5 linked regions of the Macaca mulatta genome follow. The protein of the gene in region 2 interacts with the protein of the main gene of each other region in a biochemical or structural test. Links are inferred from orthologs where the notes say so. Each region holds a gene or a part of one and is shown on either strand. Other genes may lie near its edges.

What was found.
Region 1: the proteins of PCNA (region 2) and POLK form a complex in vitro, tested with the Homo sapiens proteins (2 studies listed by BioGRID, with this or other methods). The link is inferred for Macaca mulatta from reciprocal best matches to the Homo sapiens genes PCNA and POLK.
Region 3: the proteins of PCNA (region 2) and POLL form a complex in vitro, tested with the Homo sapiens proteins (3 studies listed by BioGRID). The link is inferred for Macaca mulatta from reciprocal best matches to the Homo sapiens genes PCNA and POLL.
Region 4: the proteins of PCNA (region 2) and CHAF1A form a complex in vitro, tested with the Homo sapiens proteins (4 studies listed by BioGRID and IntAct). The link is inferred for Macaca mulatta from reciprocal best matches to the Homo sapiens genes PCNA and CHAF1A.
Region 5: the proteins of PCNA (region 2) and TRAIP form a complex in vitro, tested with the Homo sapiens proteins (2 studies listed by BioGRID, with this or other methods). The link is inferred for Macaca mulatta from reciprocal best matches to the Homo sapiens genes PCNA and TRAIP.

The regions. Positions count from the first base shown.
Region 1 is NC_133411.1:81,998,097-82,002,910, reverse strand, and holds part of POLK (DNA polymerase kappa), read right to left. Parts: intron 3,685-4,814; coding exon 3,513-3,684; intron 1,024-3,512; coding exon 64-1,023; exon of another isoform or gene 1-63. UniProt on the Homo sapiens protein: DNA polymerase specifically involved in DNA repair. Plays an important role in translesion synthesis, where the normal high-fidelity DNA polymerases cannot proceed and DNA synthesis stalls.
Region 2 is NC_133415.1:78,832,891-78,838,351, reverse strand, and holds the start of PCNA (proliferating cell nuclear antigen), read right to left. Parts: upstream 3,526-5,461; 5' UTR 3,334-3,525; coding exon 3,113-3,333; intron 2,401-3,112; coding exon 2,303-2,400; intron 2,212-2,302; coding exon 2,144-2,211; intron 870-2,143; coding exon 675-869; intron 1-674. UniProt on the Homo sapiens protein: Auxiliary protein of DNA polymerase delta and epsilon, is involved in the control of eukaryotic DNA replication by increasing the polymerase's processibility during elongation of the leading strand.
Region 3 is NC_133414.1:113,652,823-113,657,569, forward strand, and holds the end of POLL (DNA polymerase lambda), read right to left. Parts: intron 2,723-4,747; coding exon 2,554-2,722; intron 2,129-2,553; coding exon 1,764-2,128; 3' UTR 1,247-1,763; downstream 1-1,246.
Region 4 is NC_133424.1:5,265,203-5,270,016, reverse strand, and holds part of CHAF1A (chromatin assembly factor 1 subunit A), read right to left. Parts: intron 4,341-4,814; coding exon 4,076-4,340; intron 3,182-4,075; coding exon 2,718-3,181; intron 1-2,717. UniProt on the Homo sapiens protein: Acts as a component of the histone chaperone complex chromatin assembly factor 1 (CAF-1), which assembles histone octamers onto DNA during replication and repair.
Region 5 is NC_133407.1:113,315,422-113,320,235, forward strand, and holds part of TRAIP (E3 ubiquitin-protein ligase TRAIP), read right to left. Parts: intron 4,381-4,814; coding exon 4,267-4,380; intron 2,904-4,266; coding exon 2,816-2,903; intron 2,198-2,815; coding exon 2,108-2,197; intron 1,685-2,107; coding exon 1,596-1,684; intron 1-1,595. UniProt on the Homo sapiens protein: E3 ubiquitin ligase required to protect genome stability in response to replication stress.

The sequences.
Region 1 (4,814 bases), on a different chromosome or scaffold from region 2:
TCATTAATTTTAATAAAACATATTCCTAGAAAATCATGCAGTTTAAAACGACTACACACTCACCAGTACTTCTGGAGCTTTCTTTGGGTTGATTAACTGGGTTAACTTTGTCATTTCTTAATTCTTGGATAAAACTTTTATTTAAGCAAACATCCACATGCACATTGAACAGGGTTAGATCTGAAGTCTTTTGTTCTACATTACAAACAGGACAAACTAGAGCTTGGCCTGTTATCACTTCACATAAGTAAGGCTGGCAGGATTCTTGTCTGCTTAATAATCCAACATCTTCGTTTTCCAACGAAACAGTGCAAGAAGAATTCTGATGACAGTGTTCAATATTAAAAGACTTGCCTGGGAGATTAGAACATTCTCCCTTGATATGCTTATTACTTAAAGCATCTATGCTTTCTGCTTTAGATGAGTTATCTATAGTATCTACTAAAGCTACACAATCTACTGAAGACACTTCTTTAATTTTTGGATGGGCTTCATAATCTTGCTTCTCACAAAGTGAAGAAGCAGGAACATTTTCTTTCTTGTTAACTCTGGTAGCAGAAACATGTGAACACGAGAACACTTTAGAGTTTTCACTGATTGAAGATCCATCAAGACATGCATCTACATGTTTATTAAAGGCTTCCAGACTGATGCACCCTTGTGCCCTAAAGCAAACAGGACAGGTAAATATCTGACAGTTATCTGAATTCTCTGGTATTTCCAAATTCTCACTCATCTTCTTCTTTAAAACTTGGAATGGTTGTGATGTCTGGAAACTTTGTTTATTCACAGTTTCACATTTAAATGTATCTTGGTGACTCCATTTCCTTTCTGATCGTTTTTTATCAAAGAAACTCTTCTTATGAGACATTTCTAGAGGTTTTACAAACTGATCTTTGTCTGTTTTCTCTAGTATACACCCAGTGGCTGACAGGGCTTGGTTTCCCGCCTGTAAAAAGCCAATAATGCTCCTTTGTTGGTGTTTCCTGTCTTCTTCATTGGGAAAACTAGATATCCGAACACCTAAATTAAACCAATCACAATCAATTTCATATTGAACAAAGCCAATTCACTCATAATGCATAAAAACATTTTGTCTAGTGCTATGACATATGCAAAAGGTTGGCTAGAGAGAAAAAATAAGTCACATTTCAAAGCTGTTATTATAAGTACAAATTTACCTTCCTTTATAAAAGAATATCATTAAATATTAACTATCTATTTGGAGTTAGCATAATGATGTAGGATTTTAATTCATATATGACACATACCATTACATTAATACCAGTAACTAACCGGAGTCAACTATACAGACTCTTTAGCTCTTTTTTTTCTAATAAACTTTATTTTTTAGAGAAATTTTAGGTTCACAGCAAAATTGAGCAGAAGGTACAATGAGTTCCCATAGATTCCCTTCCCCTACACAAGCATACCCCTCCACCCCAACTATCAACATGTGGCACCAGAGTGGTACATTTGTTACAATCTATAAACCTACATTGCCACAACATTGTCACTCAAAGTCCATAGCTTACATAGGGTTCACCCTTGGAATACATTCTGTGTGCCTGGACAAATTTATAATGACGTGTCATTATAGAATCATACAGAATCATTTCATTGCCCTAAAATTCCTGTGTTTTTGCCTATTCATCTCTTCTTCTCCTCTTAACTCCTGACAATCAATTATTTTTTATGGTACTCATATTTGCCTTTTCCAGAATCTCATATGGTTGGAATCATACAGTATTTAGTTTTTTCAGATTGGCTTCTTTTTTTTTTTTTTTTTTGAGACGGAGTCTCGCTGTGTCTCCCAGGCTGGAGTGCAGTGGCGTGATCTTGGCTCACTGCAAGCTCCGTCTCCCGGGTTCACGCCATTCTCCCTCCTCAGCCTCCCAAGTAGCTGAGACTACAGGCGCCCGCCACCACGCCCGGCTAGTTTTTTGTATTTTTAGTAGAGACGGGGTTTCACCATGTTAGCCAGGATAGTCTCGATCTCCTGACCTCGTGATCCACCCGCCTCGGCCTCCCAAAGTGCTGGGATTACAGGCTTGAGCCACCGCGCCCGGCCCAGATTGGCTTCTTTTACTTAACATTATGCAGTTAAGTTTCATTCATGTCTTTTCATGAATTGATAATTCACTTCTTTTCTGTGCTGAATATTATTCCACTGTCTGTATGTACCACAGTTTATTTATTCATTCATGTACCGAAGGACATTTTGCTTGTTTCAAAGTTTTGGCAATTATGAATTAAGCTTCTATAGATACCTGCTCTTGGCTTTTTTTTTTTTTTTTTTTTTTTTTTTGAGGTAGAGTTTCACTCTTGTTGCCCAGGCTGGAGTGCAATGGTGTGATCTCAGCTCACTGCAACCTCCACTTCCCAGGTTCAAGCGATTCTCCTGCCTCTGCCTCTCGAGCAGCTGGGATTACAGGTGCCCACCACCGTGTCCAGCTGATTTTTTGTAGTTTTAGTAGAGATGGGGTTTCACTATGTTGGCCAGGCTGGTCTCAAACTCCTGACCTCAGGCGATCCACCTGCCTTGACCTCCCAAAGTGTTGGGATTACAGGTGTGAGACACCACGCCTGGCCTGGCTCTTTGAATTAACACTTTATTCAGTAGATTTCAGTGTGTGCTATATCTTTCATAAATGAAAGTATGGCTAGTGACCCACTCCTTACTAGTAAAATGTGCATTTGGAGTGCTGATCCATATACATACTTTCAACCAGTTCACTTTGGAAACATGGCTTGTTAGTTTTTACCATGTAATGGCTTGGAGATGTGATTTCACAATGTCACAATCCTTTATCTGTAATTCCAAAATCCAAAAAGTTCTGAAAATTGTAAGCAACAAGTGATATTTGATGACTAAATTAAAGTCATCAGTCTTTACAGTCTCTGAATATTTTGTTTTGCTATAGAAATATTAATATGTTTGAATAGGGGGTGTTGCCCCAGATCCACAAAGAAGTATTACAACATAATATACTCTACATGCACTGAATTTGCTTTCCAAAATCTGAAAAGTTTTGAATTTTGAAAGATACCTGGCCACAAGAATTTCATTAAGTTATGAGGAAAAGAACAACTTTAATTGGCTCTTACTGGAATTAAACTAATGATCATGGCTTCACACATCAGGGTCTAATAATTAAGATAAATGGCAGCAGCAAAGGAAGAACTTCCTAAACAGATTTAAGAAATAAAATGAAGGCGAGAATACAGGTGCTCACTGACTTACAATAGGATTGTATCCAGATAAACCCACTGTAAATTGAAAACATAATAAGTCAACTTACAATACTTTCAATTTATGACAGGTTTATCAGGATGTAACCGCACTGTAAGTCAAAAGTGTACTGAAAGCATACAACTTTCCCACCATCGCAAAGTTGAAAAATCATTAAGTTGAACCATTGTTAAGTTGGGGGCCCCCTGTATTCCCAAAGTGAATTATTTAGGAAAACCTAGCAGATTTAAGGAAAAACAAAAAAATAAAAAAGTCATACCCATAAGTCTTAATCTCAAGGGATGCGGAAAATCAGCATCAATTTCTGTTTTTAGCAATTCCTTAGCAATGGCAAATATTTCTTCTGCAGTAGAAACAACAGATGAAACTGTAGATGCACGAGTTTTTACTTCAAAATTCACATTCTTCAACTTAATGGTAACAGTTCTACCCTACAACATATACAATATGTTATTTATTTATTTATGAGACAGAGTCTCTCTCTGTTGTCCACGCTGGAGTGCGCTGGCACAGCTGTAGCTCACTGCAGCCTTCAACTTCTGGGCTCAAGTGATCCTCTTGCCTCAGCCTCTTGAGTAGCTAAGATTACAAGTGCATGTCACTACACCAGCTAATTTTTTATTTTTTGTAGAGATGGAGTCTCACTACGTTACCTAGGCTAGTCTCAAATTCCTGGCCTCAAGCGATCCTGGCCTTGCAAAGTGTTGCAATTATAGGCATGAGCTACTGCACCCACCAGAATACATTATTCTGTATGACTTCCTAACTTCTAGAAAAAAGTCATTTACATGTTAGAAAAATTCAGAAAGGTTTATGGACATAAGATTATGGAAGTATAACCAATTATTTATAAAACATGGTGATAAAAATACCACAAAGAATAAGAGGCCGGGCGTGGTGGCTCGCACCTGTAATCCCAGCACTTTGGGAGGCCGAGGAGGGCGGATCACGAGGTCAGGAGTTCAAGACCAGCCTGGCCAATATGGTGAAACCCTGTCTCTACTAAAAATACAAAAATTAGCTGGGCATGACGGCAGGCGCCTTTAATCCCAGCGACTGGGGAGACTGAGGCAGGAGAACAGTTTGAAGCTGGGAGGCAGAGGTTGCATTGAGCCGAGATCATACCATTGCACTCCAGCCTGGGTGACAGGGCAAGACTCCACCTCAAAAAAAAAAAAAAAAAAAAAAATTAAAATACCATTTCAGCCAAAAACTTTTACTCCCCTTTCCAAACACAAGCTGAAATCCCATTTTATTTTGTTTTTGAGATGGGGGTCTCGCTCTATTGCCCAGGCTGGAGTACAGTGGCGTGATCATGGCTCACTGCAGCTTCGACCTCCCAGGCTCATGTTATCCTCCTGCCTCAGCCTCCCAAGTAGCTGGGACTACACGCTCGTGCCACCACGTCCAGCTAATTTTAAAATTTTTTTTGTAGAGACGTGATTTCACTGGGTTGTCCAGGCTGGTCTTGAACTCGTGGGCTCAAGCAATCTCTTGCCTCAGCTTCCTAATGTGCTGAGATTACAGCCATGAGCCACTATGCCTAACCTAAAATCCCATT
Region 2 (5,461 bases):
TCAGTTCAAGTCATTCTCCTGTCTCAGCCTTCCGAGTAGCTGGGGTTACAGGTGTGCACCACCATGCCCGGCTAATTTTTTCTATTTTGGTTAAGCAAGGGCTCTCTAAGTACTCTCAAAGTTGCACGGAGTCTGCTTTCTAGCCTTAGTGAGAAGTCTTCCTGTTTAACCTTTGATTCCTACAGCCTGTGACTTTGGCTAAATTGTCACTTAAGATTGCTCAGCCTGCTTCTCCACCTTTAAAATGGGCTACCAATTGGACCCACAACATGTACGCTAATATAAGGATTACATAAGCGCTCCTAACAGGTAGACTTTTACTCCTAACCATACCCTTCTATAGAGTTGCTGTTCTATGCTTATTTGGTAAGAGTAAATATCTCCAGAAAGCTAAAGGTTAGATGCCTAGCTTCCCAATCCTACCCTTAAGAGCCTGTGTGGGCTTGATCCATAAACCATTGTTCTGTGGTATGTACACGTGCTGAATTTGTATTCCCTTCTTGCAAATATAATTCTAAATTGGATGACACAAATCAGTTGCAGATTTCAACAGTATCTCAATTTTCAGAAATTACTTGGGATCCAATTCTGTCTACTTTTAATTTTAGCAATTAACCTAATAAGCAGTATTACAATTCTCTTCAAACTTTTTTTTTTACTTAAAAACTACTTACAGCTTCCTCCTCTTTATCGACATTACTTGTCTGTGACAATTTAATGTTTCCATTTCCAAGTTCTCCACTTGCAGAAAATTTCACGCCGTCTTTTGCACAGGAAATTACAACAGCATCTCCAATATGGCTGAGATCTCGGCATATACGTGCAAATTCACCAGAAGGCATCTTTACTACACAGCTGTACTCTTGTTCCTATTAAGAACAAAAATTTTCCAAAAGTTACTTGTTAGAAATTTAATGATTTGGCACCCTCACTTTCTTAAAAGGCAACATCTAAACAACTCAGAATCAAGATTTTCTGATTACTGACTCGTGTAATTTCTTAACAAACTCCACTCAAAAAAAATAAATGGCTATTAAATGCACTGCCCAGGGAACAAGCGCCTCCTCCTCCTCATCCTCCAGGGATAAAGTAAGAGAACATTAGAGTATGCCACAGAAATGATGACGGCGCAAGCAGGTCTAACTATTTTCTAAAAGAAAACGAGAGAATATGATATTAGGCATTTTCAACATTCCAACATTTCTTCTCTCCTTTGGTGTTTATAAACCTAACCTGGATACATTTCTTCTAAGATAGCTTTCAAACCCACTTAACAAAAATCAAGCATCGGGCCGGGCGCGGTGGCTCAAGCCTGTAATCCCAGCACTTTGGAAGGCCGAGACAGGCGGATCACAAGGTCAGGAGATCGAGACCATCCTGGCTAACCTGGTGAAACCCCGTCTCTACTAAAAAATACAAAAAAAAAAAAAAAAAAAAAAAAAAAAAAACTAGCCGGGCGAGGTGGTGGGCGCCTGTAGTCCCAGCTACTCGGGAAGCTGAGGCAGGAGAATGGCGTAAATCTGGGTGGCAGAGCTTGCAGTGAGCTGAGATCCGGCCACAGCACTCCAGCCTGGGCGACAGAGCGAGACTCCGCCTCAAAAACAAAACAAAACAAAACAAAACCAACCATCCTAGAAGGAAGCAAATTTTAAAAGAGGTTCATGGAAATTAATGCAAATAGACAACTGGCAGTAAACAATAAATTTAACCAGTGAGTTTTAGACTTGTGGTAAACAACTATCCAAATACTAAAATCTCTTTAAAACATGCACCAGTAGATATGTTTCTAGAAAAAGTTCTGTTATGAAGTAGGCTTAAATTATATTAACTTATCTTGACGGAGGAGGATCATTGAGGCCAGGAGTTCCAGACCAGCCTGGGCAAGACTGCCCCCACACCCACACACAAAAATAAAAAAATTAGCCAGGCGTGGTGGGACAGATCTGTAGTCCTTCCTAGCCACTTAGGAGACTAAGTGGATTGCTTGAGCCCAGGAGTCCCAGGTTACAGTGAGCTATATGGCACCACTGCACTCCAGCCTGGGGAAAAGAGGAAGACCCTGTCTGTAAAAATAAACAACATTCTATGATATAACTATCATGCCTGTGTACAGCAGTCGCTACAATCAGAAACTGATACTCACTGGAATTCCAAGTTGTTCAACATCCAAATCCATCAACTTCATTTCATAGTCTGAAACTTTCTCCTGGTCTACCAAAAAAAAGCAAATGCTGTTGAGAAACACTGGCACAGAGTTTTGATCTTCTGTAGCTTCATAACTCAGTAAAAAGGTACGACTTACTGGGTGCTTCAAATACTAGCGCCAAGGTATCCGCATTATCTTCAGCCCTTAGTGTAATGATATCTTCATTGCCGGCGCATTTTAGTATTTTGGACATACTAGAAGACAGGAGACACATGGTTTAAAATCAACACCATCTACTGAAGGTCTGTATTTCTAATGCAGTTAGAAGGGGTTACCACTCTCACCCATAGGCCGTCTCAGAACTGGTGGAGGGTAATTGCACTGCTGGAGGATGCGAATATTAATGCAGACATTTTGGGATGCATCTGGCAGTATTTATACTAAAATACCACCAGCAGTTTCCCTTCTGGATAGAAACAATCTCCTGCCACTAAGTAGGATGACAGGCTGACACTTTTCTCGCAAGGGCACATTATAAAGCATTTAAAGTCAATCGCGACTGAGCCGGGAGGATCGCCTGAGCCCAGAAGTTGGAGACCAGCCCGGGCCAACACATCGAGACCGTCTCGGAAACAAAAAAGCCACAACTAAAGCGTCCATTCAAGGCCAACAGGATTTAGTGAGCAAAAGCTCTGGAGCAGTGTTCCTGGCACTGCAGAAAAACCAGTCATTTTCCCGCCACCACCCGCTTTGTGACTTTGGCGCGAAAAAGCAGGTTCGCGCAGCAGCCAGCGCGGGCTTTTCCGAACCGCGCGCTCAGCTGGGCCCCACCCCCCTGCATGGCAGGCCAATGAGAAGGTGCGGATGGTCCACGCCAGCCAATGAGGGCTCGGCTCGGAAGCGATCCCGCCAAACCCCGGAGGTGGGGGTGGGCCGGGGCCGGCTTCTCGACGCCGCGAGGCTCACCTGGTGAGGTTCACGCCCATAGCCAGGTTGCGGTCGCAGCGGTAGGTGTCGAAGCCCTCAGACCGCAGGGTGAGCTGCACCAAGGAGACGTGGGACGAGTCCATGCTCTGCAGATTTACGCCGCTGGAGCTAATATCCCAGCAGGCCTCGTTGATGAGGTCCTTGAGGGCCTCCAACACCTTCTTCAGGATGGAGCCCTGGACCAGGCGCGCCTCGAACATGGTGGCGGAGTGGCAGCAACGCGGCTACAGGCAGGCGGGAAGGAGGAAAGTCTAGCCGGTTTCCGCTTCAGGAGCCTCAGAGCGAGCGGGCGAACGTCGTGACGAGAAGCTGAGACCTAGAAACAGAACTACCAGTCTGCTACGCCTGCAACCGTTTAATGCCGCCGCGTCCGCCAGCGCGCGCTCTTACCCTGCGCCGCGTTGCGACGTCACCACGCTGCCCGGCCCACGGCCTGGGCGGGTTAGAATTTAGGGCCAATCGTGCCGATGCTCCCCGCGAGGCCCGCCCCCTAGGACATACATTGGAGGAAGCGGGTGCAGGGCGGGGCAGCGTCCCGCAGGTCTCCCCGCCTCTTCGCCTGACTCCTGAACCTGACCACTGAACAAGTCCGGGCATATGTGGGGATCCGGCCCAGGCCCCGGTTCGTCAAGCCCCAGCTTTATGGTGCCTCCTCAGCCTCCAGCTCCGTGGGTAGAAAGTTTCCAGCCACGAAAGTGAAAGTGAAAAGCAAATCCAGCCTACCGGGAGGAAAAGCCTCCTTGTAGCCTGAAGAGTACAGCTGCTGCAAATATGCACTTTATTTTTCAATTACAAAAGTGATGCGCTCCTAAGTGTCACACCATAAAGAGTTATGTTAAACTTAGCTCCCTCTCACCTCTTAACATTCCACTGCCAGCTCTTATAATCACTCAATCGTTCCTTGTATAAAGCTTTTAAAGCTTTTTTGAAAGTTCGAATACACTTTTTTTTTTCAAAATGCACTCATTCCGTAAACACTTCGAAAAAGTACTTAATAAAGTACATTTAATTTTATGCCACGTACATCTTTTTTATATCAGTACCTCTTTAAAAGATAGCATCACATGTATGTAACTTATCAATCTCCTGTTAATTACAAACACCTTTGAGCACTTAGGCAATTTTGGTGCTATCAACTCCTTGAAGTAATACAGCTGAGTCAAAGAGCGTACACATTTAATTTTTTTTCTTTTCTTTCTTTCTTTTTTTTTGAGATGGAGTCCTGCTCTGTCATTCAGGCTGGAGTGCAGTGGCGCGATCTCGGCTCACTGCAACCTCCGCCTCCCAGGTTCAAATGATTCTCCTGCCTCAGCCTCCCGAGTAGCTGGGATTACAGGCGCCTACCACCGCGCCCGACTAATTTTTTTTTTTTTTTTTTTTAGTAGAGACGGGGTTTCACCATGTTGGCCAGGCTGGTCTCGAACTCCCGACCTCAGGTGATCACCCGCCTCAGCCTCCCAAAGTGCTGGGATTACAGGCATGTGCCACCATGCCCGGCTAAATTTTTGATAAATGTTACTAAATCTCTAAAAGTTTGCAATTTACATTCTAGCCAAGACTGTGTATGAACATGCTCATTTATCTTTATTTTCCTAACTACAGATATTAGCAATCTCATTTTTTAATCATTGCTCATCTGTGTCAAAAATTCAATTTTTTTTTTTTTTTGAGACAGAGTCTTGCTCTGTTGCCCCGGCTGGACTGCAGTGGCACTATCTCGGCTCACTGAAACCTCCGCCTCCCAGGTTCAAGCAATTCTCCTGTCTCAGCCTCCCAAGTAGCTGGGATTACAGGTGCCTACCACTACACCCGGCTAATTTTTGCATTTTTAGTAGAGACGGGGGTTTCACCATGTTGGCCAAGCTGGTCTCGAACACCTGACCTCAGGTGATCCACCCGCTTTGGCCTCCCAAAGTGCTGGGATTACAGGCGTGAGCCACTGCACCCAGCCAGAAAATTTCAATTGTTACAGGATGGACAGGGTTTGTTGTTTCTCTCCTGCTTTGTTTACACCATTTCTCTTTAGTTACTTTTAATATCTTGGTCAGTGGAATTCTTTAGTTTTTCTACCATGTATCTAGGTATGGATTTAGTTTTATTTATCTTGTTGAAGGAACTGAAGATTCATTTCAAGTCTTACATATTCTCAATCATTATGGCTTCAAGTATCTCCTCTCCTTAGTCTATTCTTTATCTCTGGAATGCCTTTCTTTCCTTTTTTTTTTTTTTTTTTCCTAGTTCGGCTATGACTCCATACAAGGTTCTAAGAGGAGTTTCACAGTCTCTTCCCTGGGTTTTGTGGAGACTTAACTTTATCCTTCTGTATCA
Region 3 (4,747 bases), on a different chromosome or scaffold from region 2:
GACTTCTGCTGACTCCAACTCTTGCTGGGGACAGCAGCAGGCACTGAGGGACCAGTCCAGAGAGGGACCAAAAGTAGCCTTCACATCCGGGGGCTCAGGCTTTCCCCAGTCCCTCTCCTGTCTACCCAGGCCCACTGTGGCTCTTGGCAGCCATGTGTCTCTGGGAGTAAACGTTCTTGGGGGAGAGGCTCGCCCCTCCAGAAGGCTTCTGGGCTTTTGACTGGCCATCTCTCGGGTTGGTGCTGAGCTGTGAAAGGGCCCTCCAGGTCCTGTGGGCTTCTGATTCCTTTCCCAATATGATCAGTGATGGGAAGACTCCCTGACTTACACGTCAGGGGTGTGAGCTTGAGTTGAGGGGCCTACTCCCAGGCTGCTAGGATCCCATGATCAAGACCAGGCAGACAAAGGCTGGCTCCGCGACTCTGCAAGTTACCAACAGGCATGTCGCCCACCCAGCACACTCAAGGTGGGATTCCCCCTCTGGAGCCAAAGCTGCCCTCACGCGCCACCACCCAAAACCCAGCACAGGGCCTCTCCAGGCTCCTCGCTCCTCCTCCAATACAGTCTCCTTCTGACTCTGTGCCCGCTCCTCCTCATACCTGGGCTGCCTGAATCTCCTTCCATGCCCCCACTGCCCCACCAAGTCTCCCTGCCCTGCGAAACAGCCTCAGGAAGCCATCCTGCACTCCCCAGCGGGACCTGCTCTCGTCTGCTCTATCAAACCAAGCTCTGCTTCCAGTCCTCTACCAGCCCAGCCTGCTCCTGACTCCCAGCACACAGTGTCCTCTCTAAAGCTGGTCCTTAATTGTCCCCCAACAGAGCCTGCTGACTCCTCTCAGAGGCAATTTCCCTGCCAGTCTGCCTCTCTCCTCCTCCGGGAAGCCTTCCCTGGCCGCCCATCCCTGTATACACAGGTCACTATTTAGTTGTTCCTAATGGTTTCCTGAGTCTTGCCACTTTTGCTTATGTCCCTGATAGCCTGGTCTAAGGCAGGGCCTGCAGAAGTTGGTGATGGCTAGATAGGAGCTCCAGGTGCCTGACTCCACGATTCTCCCTGGTCACAACCACTGCTATCCTTGCTGTGAGTTTAGGAGCTGACTCACGCCAGTCCTGTCTAGAGGGCAGTTAACACAGCCTTTCTGGGCTCCTCTTTTCAGTTCCCATCTCCGTCGTCCCTGCCTGGGTGGAAGAAGGTAGGTAGAAGCTGCAGCAGTTCAGACACCAGGCAGGTTCAATGTCAGATGCACTTTACTGGGCCCCTGGGCCTTCCAACACTGTCCTCACAGAGGCTGGGGCACCCCATTCCCAGCACCACCAGCTGCCCAGGAAGCAGCATGGGTAGAGGGAACACGTGTGGAATGGCTGTTCTCCTACCCCAGAGGGTCTTGGACGATGTTGACAGCACAGCTGCTTCCCTCTCCCCGGCAGCTTCTGTCCCCACCCAGCAGCTCAGCCTTTCTCACAGCAGGGAAGGGGGATGCCTGGGGCTTCAAATCAGCCACCTGCTCCTGCTTAAAATGGGATAAGGGGCCACTTGCAAAATTCCTCGAGGCAGCCTGCTCCTGTCTGGGAGAGGACTGGGTAGATACTGGGAGCCATGCTGGCTCTCGCTTCAGGCCCAGAGCCCTGGGCCCAGCTCGCTGAGGAAGCTGGTGGTTGGAGCAGCAAGGTTTGGCCAGCTGAGGCTGGAGGGAGTACTCCACTGGGTGGCCAGGAGGGGTAGCCAGTCCAACTCAGCTCTCCTCCGCACCCCCAGCCATGGGTCACCAGTCCCGCTCAGCAGGTTCTCGGTAGGGGAGGCCTAAGAGCCTGAAGACATCCTTCTCAGTGGGAGTGGGCAGCACTCGGCCAGGCCCCATCTTGCAGCCATGGGTGTTCCGGACCACAGCAGTGCTGAGGGCATGTTCTGACAGACTCATGCCCTTGGTCTTGGCCAGGGCTCGCATGGAGCGGTTGAAGTGTGCAGAGCCGGTAAAGTAGAGCAGGGCACAGGCAAACTCGCTGTAGGGCACCACGATGATGTCCAGGCGCCGGTGTCGCCACCCTGGCCCTGGGAGCCGGCACACCCCCAAGTACTTCTGTTGCTGACCATTCTCCTCTTGGCTCACCAAGTCATCTGTGAGGAACCCTGGCCCAATAGAGGGGACTACTGGGAGGGCAGGGAGCCAGGCCTGGGCTATCCCATACTCTCAGGTCTCTCCTGATCTCTAAGCTGGGGCTTGCCCAGGTATTAGCTGGGTGACACTACCCTCTCTGGGCCCTTCTCCTTTTCTGTAAAACATGGATAGTAATTCCCATCTCCCCCATAGTGTCACAGAAAGATCAGATGAGATACTCGGCCTGCAGGGTTCACTGAGCACCTCCACATAGGTGTGGCAGGGCTGCTTCATCTCTCCCTGGAGAGGATTCCAGCCCCGATAGAGATGGGATGCTGGCAAAGCACTGTTCCTCTGCTTCCTGCCTCGGGACTGGAACTTCTAAGGTTCTCCCTCAGGGGCCCCCAGCCCTGTGCTGCCCTCTGTCAACCTGCTCACCCAGAGATGGAGCTCATACCTTGCTGCCGAAGGCTGTCAAGGAGGCGGCTGAAGATACCCCGGTGGGACCGGCCATCTGGGTGAGTGATGAGCACGTCGACATCACCACAGGTTGCCTTTCCCCGTCGGTATGAACCACATGCCACACATAGCAGCCCGGAGTTAAAGGCCTGGGCTGCTTTCTGGACCTGGGAGAGAGCAGTGACAGGTGAGGGGCCGTGGGGAGCTCCTCTCCCACAGCAGCACAAGGGCCTTCCCGGACTCGGGCCCACACCCTCAGCTTATGCCCATTCCCCAATGCCTGCTGCAAGCCTGCGGGAATCCACCGTGGGGAGCTGCTGTTCTTTCCCTTCACTAGGACAGGAGAGAAGAAAAAGCTCACTGTGCAAGAGGCAAGCCTGAGAAGAGATGGGAGAAGGTGCCAGCTCTGCTTGTCAGAGTGGGCACTGAGCTTGCCCCATGGAGCTCTTTAAGAGTAGGGAGACACAGACTCTCTCTGCCCCTGCCCCAGCCCACATGCCCAGGTCTGTGAAACTCCACTTAGGACAAGGGGCCAGTTGCTGAAAGCCCTCAGTCAGGTCTAGGTAGCCCCAGATATCTACTGATTTGGAGCTAAAGGTTTGGAATATGTGAGCTGGGGCTTGAGGCCTGAGCAGGTGGCTGGCAGCATGCGCCAGGCCCAGGCCCGGGAGAAAGTGGAGTACAGAAATACAGCTGCACCTGTGGGAAAGGAGAGGAAAGAAAGCAAAGAGGGGGCAGTTCTGAGCCAAGAGCCACATCCTTTCTTGGTGGGGAGGGAGCTGAGATGGCAACTGTCAGCTGAAGGATTGTCCCTCTGAGGAAAAACAAACCCATTAGCCTCCACCCCTGAGACACTGAGGTTCTTTCATATGCAGATGGCCTCCCGCCTCCACCCCAGGACATGGAGAATTCTGGGGCCCTGGACACCTCAAGTCTCCTGACAGGAGGGCTCTGCTAATCCCCTTACTCCCTTCTTGAGCCTCCCAAGAGAATGGAAGGAGGAGGTCCATGTGAGTAATCCCATCAAAACTTCTATGGCTCGAGCCCTTAAATGGGGGCACAGGAGGCCAGGTGGGAAGCCTCTTTTGTTCCAATGGGCTGGGGACTGACTGAGGCATTCTCCATGCCTGGATACCATGGCGGAGTGACGGTGTCATCACTAGCACCAAGGCCTGGTGATGGGCAGACAAAGAGGCCTGTCCATCCATCTCATACCGGCCTCATAGCCTTGTGGCCTGGAATGAAGCTGGAGGCTGATTTCAATCAAACTGGGCCAGACTCCATGGGATCCCACTCTTTCAGAATCCCTGACCAAAGTGAGCAAACCTTGCCTATTACAAGCAGCTCCTAATCCTAATGCCCATTGAACAAATGACACATCTACCCGAAATGCAGCCCAATGTCTCTCTAATCTAGCTTTTACATGAACTTAATAGCTAACCCAACTCTAAACCAAACCCAAATCTTATTTCTTGGACAACTACAAATCTTAACTTAAAAGCAACCAACATTAAGAAAATCCTGCTGGGTGCGGTGGCTCACGCCTGTAATCCCAGCACTTTGGGAGGCCGAGGCGAGTGGATCACAAGGTCAGGAGATCGAGACCACCCTGGCTAACACGGTGAAACCCCGTCTCTACCAAAAATACAAAAATTAGCCGGGTGTGGTAGCGAGCACCTACAGTCCCAGCTACTCCAGAGGCTGACGTAGGAGAATGGCATGAACCCTGGAGGCAGAGCTTGCAGTGAGCCGAGATAGAGCCACTACACTCCAACCTGGGCAAAAGTGCGAGACTTTGTCTCAAAAAAAAAAGGAAAAGGAAAAAGAAAATTGAAGCCTAACTTTAAACTCGATCTTTTTTTTTTTTTTTTTTTTTTTTTTTGAGACGGAGTCTGGCTCTGTCGCCCAGGCTGGAGCGCAGTGGCGCGATCTCGGCTCACTGCAAGCTCCGCCTCCCGGGTTCACGCCATTCTCCTGCCTCAGCCTCCCGAGTAGCTGGGACTATAGGCGCCCACAACTGCGCCCGGCTAATTTTTTTGTATTTTTAGTAGAGACGGGGTTTCACCGTGGTCTCGATCTCCTGACCTTGTGATCCGCCCGCCTCGGCCTCCCAAAGTGCTGGGATTACAGGCGTGAGCCACCGCGCCCGGCCCTTTTTTTTTTTTTTTTAAGACAGAGTCTTGCTCTGTTGC
Region 4 (4,814 bases), on a different chromosome or scaffold from region 2:
GGCCTCCCAAAGTGCTGGGGTTACAGGAGCGAGCCACCGCGCCCAGCCAACAACCACTTTTAACCTCAGAGAAGAGGATGCACGTGGGGGCCTGGGGTTATCCACTGTCTTGCTCCTTGTTCCAAGTCTCTGAAAACCTGTAACTCCATCAGATCGTGGCCTCGGAGGAAAGCCTAAGGTTCACAGGGACAGATAGGTCTGTGTTAAGAGTACAGATTAGAAATGAAACTCAGGGAGCCAGGCACAGTGGCTCATACCTACAATCCCAGTGCCTTGCGGGGCCAAGGCAAGGGGATTGCTTAAGCCCAGGAGTTGGAGACCAGCCTGGGCAACATGGTGAAACCCTGTCTCTACAAAAAATTAGCTGGGTGTGGTGGCATGCACCTGTAGTCCCTCTCAGCTACACAGGAGGCTGAGGTGGGAGAATCGCCTGAGACTGGGGAGGTCAAGGCTGCAGTGAGTGGTGATCTTACCACTGCACTACAGCCTAGGCAACAGAGTAAGACTCCCGACTCAAAAAACACAACAAAACAAAACAAAAAAAAAAAAAAGAGAGAAACTCAGTTACAAACAGTGTGATAAGGACAAAAAGTATGCAATGAATGTTACTAAAGCTGATCTATGGCCAGGGGTGGGTGCCAGGGGCCACTGGCTCTATGGGCATGGGAGTTTTTTCCTAAGATCAGGCAGTGCCCCCATCACACACCCCATGGCTCCATGCATTTGTGCCTCTGAGGCACCCATGAGGCTGGAATCACACAGCCATTCATTCCCCTTACAGGCTCCTGTCTGTGGCTTACACTGGGCGGCGTTCTGCATATCCCTGTGTCTGAAAGACCGATCAGAGTGCCTGGCACACAGTAAGTGCTTAATAACTGTGCTTGAATGCAAAATTCAAGAACCGTTGAACAAAAATAAAAATGCTACCACATGGGATATTATTCGGTGTGAAAAAAAAATGAGCTATCAAGCCACGAACAGACATGGGGGAACTGTCAATGCATACTGCCAAGTGAAAGGAGCCACACGCGGTGCGATTCCAGCTACGGGGCAATCTGGAAAAGGCCGATCCACCGAGACAGACAGGTTGGCGATTTCCAGGGGACTGGATGGACAGAGCACAGGGGCCTTTCAGCAGGGAGAGGCCTCTTTGTTCAGAGCAATAAAGGTGGACGCACAGCATCCAACATCCATTCAAATCACAGAACCCTCTACACCAGGAACCAACCCTAACAGAGACCGTAGACTCTGGGTGGTGGTGATTTTATGTATTTATTTTTAGAGACAGGGTCTCGCTGTCGCCCAGGTTGCAGTGCAGTGGCATGATCATAGCTCACTGCAGCCTCTATCTCCTAGCCTCCAGCAATCCTCCCGCCTTAGTCTCCTGAGTAGCTGAGACTACAGATGCATGCCACCGCCACTGCTTGGCTAATTTTTTTTTTTTTTTTTTTTTTTTTTTTTTTTTTTTTTTTTTGAGACGGAGTCTCACGCTGTTGCCCAGGCTGGAGTGCAGTGGCGCGATCTCGGCTCACTGCAAGCTCCGCCTCCCGGGTTCCCGCCATTCTCCTGCCTCAGCCTCCTGAGTAGCTGGGACTACAGGCGCCCGCCACCGCGCCCGGCTAATTTTTTGTATTTTTAGTAGAGACAGGGTTTCACTGTGGTCTCGATCTCCTGACCTTGTGATCCGCCCGCCTCGGCCTCCCAAAGTGCTGGGATTACAGGCTTGAGCCACCGCGCCCGGCCTGCTTGGCTAATTTTAAAATTTTTTCTTATAGAGATGGAGTTTTGTCATGTTGCCCAGGCTGGTCTCCAACTCCCAGGCTCAAGTGATCCTCCCACCTCGGCCTCCCAAAGTGCTGGGATAACAGGCTTAAGCCACAGTGCCCGGCCTGAGTGCAATGACTGTAACCAGTCCACTGCTCTGGAAGGTGATGTTGGTAACGCGTGGCTTGGCTTGGCTTTGGGGAAGGAGGTGTATGGGAACTTTCTGTACCTTCCAATCGATTTTGCTGTGACCCTAAAACTGCTCTAAGAGTAGTTTTAGGCTGGGCACAGTGGCTCAAGCCTGTAATCCCAGCACTTTGGGAGGCCGAGATGGGCGGATCACGAGGTCAGGAGATCGAGACCATCCTGGCTAACACGGTGAAACGCCATCTCTAAAAAATACAAAAAAACTGGCCAGGAAAGGTGGCAGGCGCCTGTTGTCCCAGCTACTCGGGAGGCTGAGGCAGGAGAATGGCGTAAACCCGGGAGGCGGAGCTTGCAGTGAGCCGAGATCTGGCCACTGCACTCCAGTCTGGGTGACAGAGCGAGACTCCGTCTCAAAAAAAAAAAAAAGTAGTTTTAAAAAAACACAAAAGCGCCGGGCGAGGTGGCTCACGCCTGTAATCCCAGCACTTTGGGAGGCCAAGGCAGGTGGATCACGAAGTCAGGAGTTTGAGACCAGCCTGATCAACATGGTGAAACCCTGTCTCTACTAAAAATACAAAAATTAGCCAGGTGTGGTGGTGCACACCTGTAATCCCAGCTACTCAGGAGGCTGAGGCAGGAGAATCGCTTGAACCCGGGAGGTAGAGGTTGCAGTGAGCCGAGATCGCACCACTGCACTCCAGCCTGGGTGACACAGAGCAAGACTACATTTCAAAAATAAAACAAAACAACAAAAAACAAACAAAGAAAACTGCCCCCAGGGGCACCCACTGCCCGCCCCACCTCACCTGGCCGTCGTGCCTGCGCTTCTTCATGAATTGGGTGATGCACATGCTGCCCGCTGACTTCCTCTTCAGTGAGATGGGAGTGCCCTGGCTGGGTCCCGTGGAGGGGACGCTGCCACTGTCCTCTCTGGGGGCCGAGGGCACTGAGGTCACGTAGCTCCACTGGCATGGCACGGGCAGGTGCTCCTGCTGGAAGCTCTGTAGCACCTGCGGGTGCACGTACCAGCACATCCTGAAGTCGGGCCGCTTCTCGTACACTGAGTTCTCGGAAATGAGCCGCTTGAGCCGGGACTTAGAGGGTATGGCAGCGTCCTCGCTGGTGGTGTGCAGGCAGGTAGCGGAGGGGCTTGGGGGGCTGCCGGTGTGCTTGCTGAGCAGTCCCCGGCGGCAGTGCTCCTGGAACTCCCGGATGATGACCTTGCTCCCGTTCACGTTGCCATGCAGGAGCGGCAGCAGCTGGGCCAGGACTGGCGGGAGGGAACATGGATGGGCATGAGGTTTGGGGAGCCACCTATCACCACAGGCCAAAAACCAAAACACACACAGCTCCTCCTCGCCACTGAGGCTCCGGGCATGGCCAGCTTCAGGGATAGGTGGCCTCATGAGGGCGGTCGTAAGACAGGGCAGCACCCACGCACCTGCCCAGAAGTGAGCCTTGGCCGGGCACATGCGTTGCCAGGGCTGACTTCAAATGCCTGCTGTTCCTACCCAAATGGCAGCCCTGCTCTCCTTGTGTGCCATAGTCCCTCCCCAGTTTTTTGAGTTTTTTTTTTTTTTTTTAGATGGGGTCTCGCTCTGTCACCCAGGCTGGAGTGCAGTGGCAGTATCATGGCTCACTGTAGTCTGGAACTCCTAGGCTCAAGCAATCCTCCCACCTCAGCCTCATGAGCAGCTGGGATCACAGGTGCATGAGACCATGCCCAGGTAATTTTGTATTTTCTGCAAAGATGAAGTTTTGCCATGTTGCCCAGGCTGGTGTCGAAGCACTAGGCTCAAGCGATCCTCCCACCTTGGCCTCCCAAAGTGCTGGAATCACAGTCTTGAGCCACTGTGCCCGGCCCCTCCCTGGCTTTTGAGAAAGCGTAGCCCCCACTCCAGCACACTCTGCGCCTGAGTCCTGGTTGATAAAACAAGCCTGGACCTGCCTCGTCCTGCCGCTGGGGACATCATCGAATGTACGGATGTGTGCGGGAAGAGGGCTGGCCTCTGTTATTTGTGGAAAGAACATTTGCACCATGGACCCACTAGCCTGTGAGACTCTTGCCCTCAGCCCTGAAATTAGCTGGGCCCAGGAACAGGTGGGTGGCCCGGCCACGCCCCTGAGAAGGGGAGGCCCTGCCTGAAGCCCCACCCACACTCACTCTGCTGGTCTCTGTTCTCCCGCTTGGAGGCCTTGGAGGCCTTGGGCGTCTGCTCCTCCTGGACAGGCACGGTCTCCAGGAAGCAGGCTGCGAACTGCTGCAGTACCTTCAGGTCGTCGCCTGCGCAGTCTCTGTCAGCTGCCCACACGCAGCCAATCTTGACGGGCTGCAGGACGCGAAAGCGCTTCCCCTTAGCCAGGAACTCATCCCACTCCTTGGCCTTCAGTTTCTGGCGGACCTTATGGTTCTCAGGGTCGGCACACTCCTTGTGGGTTAGAAAGCAGAAGTTTATTTGGGGTTCATGCTCCCCTATGCCCGGGCACTCTTTTGAGGTTCCAGTCTCAGCTGGCTGGGGAGCCAGAGGAAAGGACAGGGGCGCAAAACTCACAGTGTCAGGGCCAGGGCAGAGCACACCGTGCGCTGGCTGCCCCTCTTCCAGATGGAGTAATTCACACCTGGTCTCCTTTGGGAGAGTCACAAGATATTTCTGAGCTCACCCATGAGGCCTCTTTTAACACCCCTCTGAATTTCTGGTGAATGTGTGATCGTGGAGCTGTTTAACAGGGTCGGGTGCCTACCCACATGGCCCGGGCATCTGGCAGACACATGTAGGGCCTGAGACCACTCTCTGACAGACAGTTCAGGCCTTGGTGGTCAGATATGCACAAGGAATGCATAGCCCTCCAACACAACCATGAGACAGTCCCACCAAATCCCCACTTCCCAAACAACAGGCCTG
Region 5 (4,814 bases), on a different chromosome or scaffold from region 2:
CTCAGCCTCCCAAGTAGCTGAGACTACAGGCGCCCGCCACCACGCCCGGCTAGTTTTTTGTATTTTTAGTAGAGACGGGGTTTCACCATGTTAGCCAGGATAGTCTCAATCTCCTGACCTCGTGATCCACCCGCCTCGGCCTCCCAAAGTGCTGGGATTACAGGCTTGAGCCACCGCACCCGGCCAGTTTTAAGTTTTTTGATACAGGGTCTCATTATGTTGCCCAGGCTGGTCTTGAACTCCTGGACTCAAGCAATCCTCCCACCTTGGCCTCCCAAAGCGCTGAGATTACAGGTATGAGTCAATGCACTCAGCCAACCACTTCGATAGTTATGCCCAGAAAAATACTGGAGACAAAAATGAATGAAGTCATCCTCATGTGGCTTGATGACAAGCCCAGCCCAGCTTACGAAGGTTTGTCAATTTAGTGTCCTGCTGGCCTGAAAGCCAAGGGAGACCATTGTTGTCCTCCCTGTACCAAATGGGCTACAGGCCCTGGCATGAAGCTTACTCAGAATGAGGTGGGCCTGTCCCCATCTGGGAGCTACAGACCAGATTCTATAATGTAGTATATAGCTGGTGGGCTGTGGGCTTAGCCATCGAAACTCCCAGCTCATCTATCCCACTGGAACATAAGCTCCAAGAGAACAGAGAAGGCCTGCCATGCAGTGGGCACTCATCAAGGACCTGCTGTAGGAGTCCAGGCCTTCCAGCACACTGAAGAGGTAAAGAAAGTAAACAAAAGCAACTAGGCATGGTGGCTCACACCTGTAATCCCAGCACTTTGGGAGGCCGAGGCAGGTGGATCAGGAGGTCAGGAGATCGAGACCATCCTGGCCAACATGGTGAAACCCTGTCTCTACTAAAATACAAAAAATTAGCCGGGCATGGTGGTGTGCACCTGTAATACCAGCTATTTGGGAGACTGAGTCAGGGGAATCGCTTGAATCCAGGAGGCAGAGATTGCAGTAAGCCAAGATCATGCCACTGCACTCCAACCTGGCAACAGAGTGAGACTCCATTAAAAAAAAAAAAAAAAACTGGGGCCACTGACAGGAGTTGTGTGCCTTCTATCTGGGTCCTTGCTGGGGACTTTCGGCAGGCAGGAAGTAGCCTTGAGGATGCTCTCAGCTAGTCTGTTTCTGTGAAACTCTCAGGAGCAGAAACAGATGCCCATGCTTGCGGCGACACCAATCCTTCTGCCTCTTGGCTCCCTCTGCTGGCAGCTTTAAAGCATGCACTCCTGGCAGTAGGGGAATTATTTTAGAGTGGTTTCATATTTGTTTCAAAATCTAGGGTGGACAGATACATGTGGGGAGCTACTCCATAAACAGGATGCCCCAAGACAGTCAGTGCTCCTGCCCTATTCTCAGACCACTTCTAGGTCCTCTGGCCTTCTCTGGCCTCTCCGTGTCAGAGACTAATTTGCTTCAAAGCTGCCTGCCAGCTAAATCTTGGCTGGCTTCCAGGGCAGGTTGTCTGCAGACATCAGGTCCACAAAGGTCACCCACCCCACCAAAGCCAGAAGGAGTAAAGACTGTTACCAGAAGGCTCTCCCACCTTGTGACCCCTGTACCGCCCAAGGCTCAACAAACCTCTCTAAAACCAGGCGGTCGACAGTCTCATTGGCCACTGGTGGCAGGTTCAAAGTTTCCTGCAGCATCATTAGCTTCTTTTTCAGGCTCTTGGGGAGGGAAAAAAAAGTGTGTGAGAGAAAGGCTGAGGCATCAAGTCCAGAGATAATGCAGAGGACATGACTAGCATGCATGAAAGGCCGGCCCACTGGGAACAGAGCAAGGCCTGATACCCCATTATTAGGCTCAGGAGGCCAAGCCCCAGCTACAGTCCCTCCTCTGATGAGGGACCTCAGGGATGTAAGTACAGGACAGACTATGAGGGAAGACTCATGGTGCTATCTGCCCTCTGTTGAGGAGGCCCAGGTTCCAGTTCGGACCAGGGCCAAGGGGCACACCCTCACCCAGGAAGATGCAGGGGCCCAGAACCACCACTGACTGGTGCAAGGGTCCTGGGCAGAGATAGCCCAGCCCTGCTTTGGGAGGGCACACAAACCACCCCTCATTCCTGTCAAGCCAGGGATGTTCCTCACCATGATTTCCTTGTCAGCACTCTGTAAGTCCTTCTGGGCTGACTTCAGTTCTAACTTGGCCTGATCCAATTCAGAGTAGACTGTCTGCAACTATAAGAAAGTGTAGGGAGTGAAGGACAAGCCAAGTGTTAGCCTTGTTCCCTGCCCCCTCCTGCTGCTCCCCAGTGAGTGATCAAGGTAGCCTAGAGTCTAGAAGAGACTAGGGGTATGGGAAGAGATCCCAGCTCTCTGAGGCTAGGCCTCAGTCTGGCAATGCACATCCGGAGCTGCCCAGAAGCAAAGGCTGCTTCCTATATCCTGCAGCCTGTGGCTACACCATGCCAGAAGTAAAAGCAGCTATGCTGACCGAATGAGGTTCCAGGAGCCCTCCTACTCCAGACATGGTGCAAAAATAGGCCCCTGACGCTGTCACATTTGGGGCCTGTGCTCTCCAGCCAGCTGAGAGGTACCCAGGAGCTGGGAAGAGCAGAGGGGAGCATGAGTGTCCACATGTTGGCAGACACCTCTGTGATCTGTCTATCCCTACTGGACAAGTCACATATTCAGACCAATGCCCAGTAAGGACTGGTAACAAATCTCTATAAGTCATCCAGCTGCCCCAGGGAGTCAGCTGTGCCATCAGGTCCCATGGCCTTGCTCAGGAGACCAGAGTGAGCATGACAAAAGGAGAGCCGCCTCTCCTTCAACCCGTGTTCACTGCTAAGTTACCTTGCTTCTGGAGGAAAACAAATCCTTCCTCAGCTTCTCAGCCAGCTCCCCTGAGGCCTTCCGTGCCTCTTTTAGATTCTCGTACTCTCTGCAATGTGGCCATGGAAAGAGATGCCAGAAAAGAACACCTGCAGGTCAGACTGAGCCACAGCACTAATCTAACACAAAGCACTGCCCAACCCCTCAACTCATTCTCATTCCTACTTTGACACCTGAGCCCAGTAAGTACCAGGTGGCACTGTGGAGGGTCCTGCAGAGAACGCAAGGAAGTGACTCTTTCCTCCTGCCTGTCCTGCAGGCACTCGTGACTTGAGAGGGCATGCAGAAAGCCCCAGTCTCACTAGGGGGCCCCCTAAACCACCTGGCCTTTTTTTTTTTTTTTTTTTTTTTTTTTTTGAGAGGGAGTATCGCTCTATCGCCCCGGCTGGAGTGCAGTGGCCGGATCTCAGCTCACTGCAAGCTCCGCCTCCCAGGTTTACGCCATTCTCCTGCCTCAGCCTCCCGTGTAGCTGGGACTACAGGCGCCCACCACCTCTCCCAGCTAGTTTTTTGTATTTTTTAGTAGAGACAGGGTTTCACCGTGTTAGCCAGGATGGTCTCGATCTCCTGACCTCGTGATCTGCCCATCTCGGCCTCCCAAAGTGCTGGGATTACAGGCTTGAGCCACCGCGCCCGGCCTACCACCTGGTCTTAAAGGAAGCATCTTGGACCCTCTATGCCTCTCAGCTAAGTGACCCTCCACCCTTCCTGCCAACCTTACACCCACCAGAGTAAGAATACGAGTTTGATCCAAGCCAGGCAGGATCATAGTGCTAAAGGGGAACAGGCTCTAGATATCAATCACAATGGGGCTTATAGCTCAGAGAGCTAGGTCAACTCCCTTAGAAACAGCACTTAAGACTCACACTCAGGCCAGGCGCGGTGGCTCATGCCTGTAATCCCAGCACTTTGGGAGGCCGAGGCGGGCGGATCACGAGGTCAGGAGATTGAGACCGTGGTGAAACCCCATCTCTACTAAAAATAAAAAAATTATCCGGGCGCAGTGGCAGGTGACTGTAGTCCCAGCTACTCAGGAGGCTGAGGCAGGAGAACGGCGTGAACCCGGGAGGGGGAGCTTGCAGTGAGCCGAGATCCCGCCACTGCACTCCAGCCTGGGCGACAGAGTGAGACTCCGTCTCAAAAAAAAAAAAAAAGATTCACACTCAATCCTCTCAACAATCCTATGAGGCAGGTCTACTACTATCTCCATTCAGGAAGCTGAAGGTCAAAGAAGCCAAGAAACTGGCACCAGGCCACATAGCTGCTGAGAGGTGGAATCAGGGTTCAAAGGCAGCATGGCTCCAGAGTTTGCCCCTTAGCTCTATCTGCTTTACAAGAGATGGGAAGCAATGACATGGCGGGAGCCCCATGGCCTATCTCCTGTGTTTGCTGAGAGGGGCCACAGTACGCACTTCTTGAGAGACACACAGTACACAGCCAGCTGTTCCACCGCTGACTGTCCCACACCCATGTCTCGGATCATCTCCTCCACCTCTGGGCGCTGGCTCTGGAGTAGAAGCTCAATCCTGAAAAACACACCCAGCCCACGGCATTTGCAATCTGGAGGCTGATGGGTAGGTACCCAGTGCAGCTCTGCCTTCCTTTGCTGCCGTTGCTAAGGTAACAGGCTAGGCTGCTAGGATGTTTAGCAGGTGGGTGTGCCCAAGGAAAGGCCCCACAGCAGAGATGAGCATAGCTCCAAGGATGCTGCTGAGAAAGAAGAGGTGCTGAAAGAGGGTCTCAAGGTGAGGGATTTCCTGGAGAGAGGTTCCTGGAGGGAAAAACCCACCAGGTCATCTGGCCACAGGCAACAGAGACAGGGAGGAATGTGGCAAGGGCTCCCATTCCTTGGAATGGTGGAAGAGTTCATAGAGGCTAAGATCTGTGCCCACACCCAGCTGACCTCAGCCCTCCATGGCCTATGGAGATTCGAGCCTCGGACATGACCCAATCCCACTCC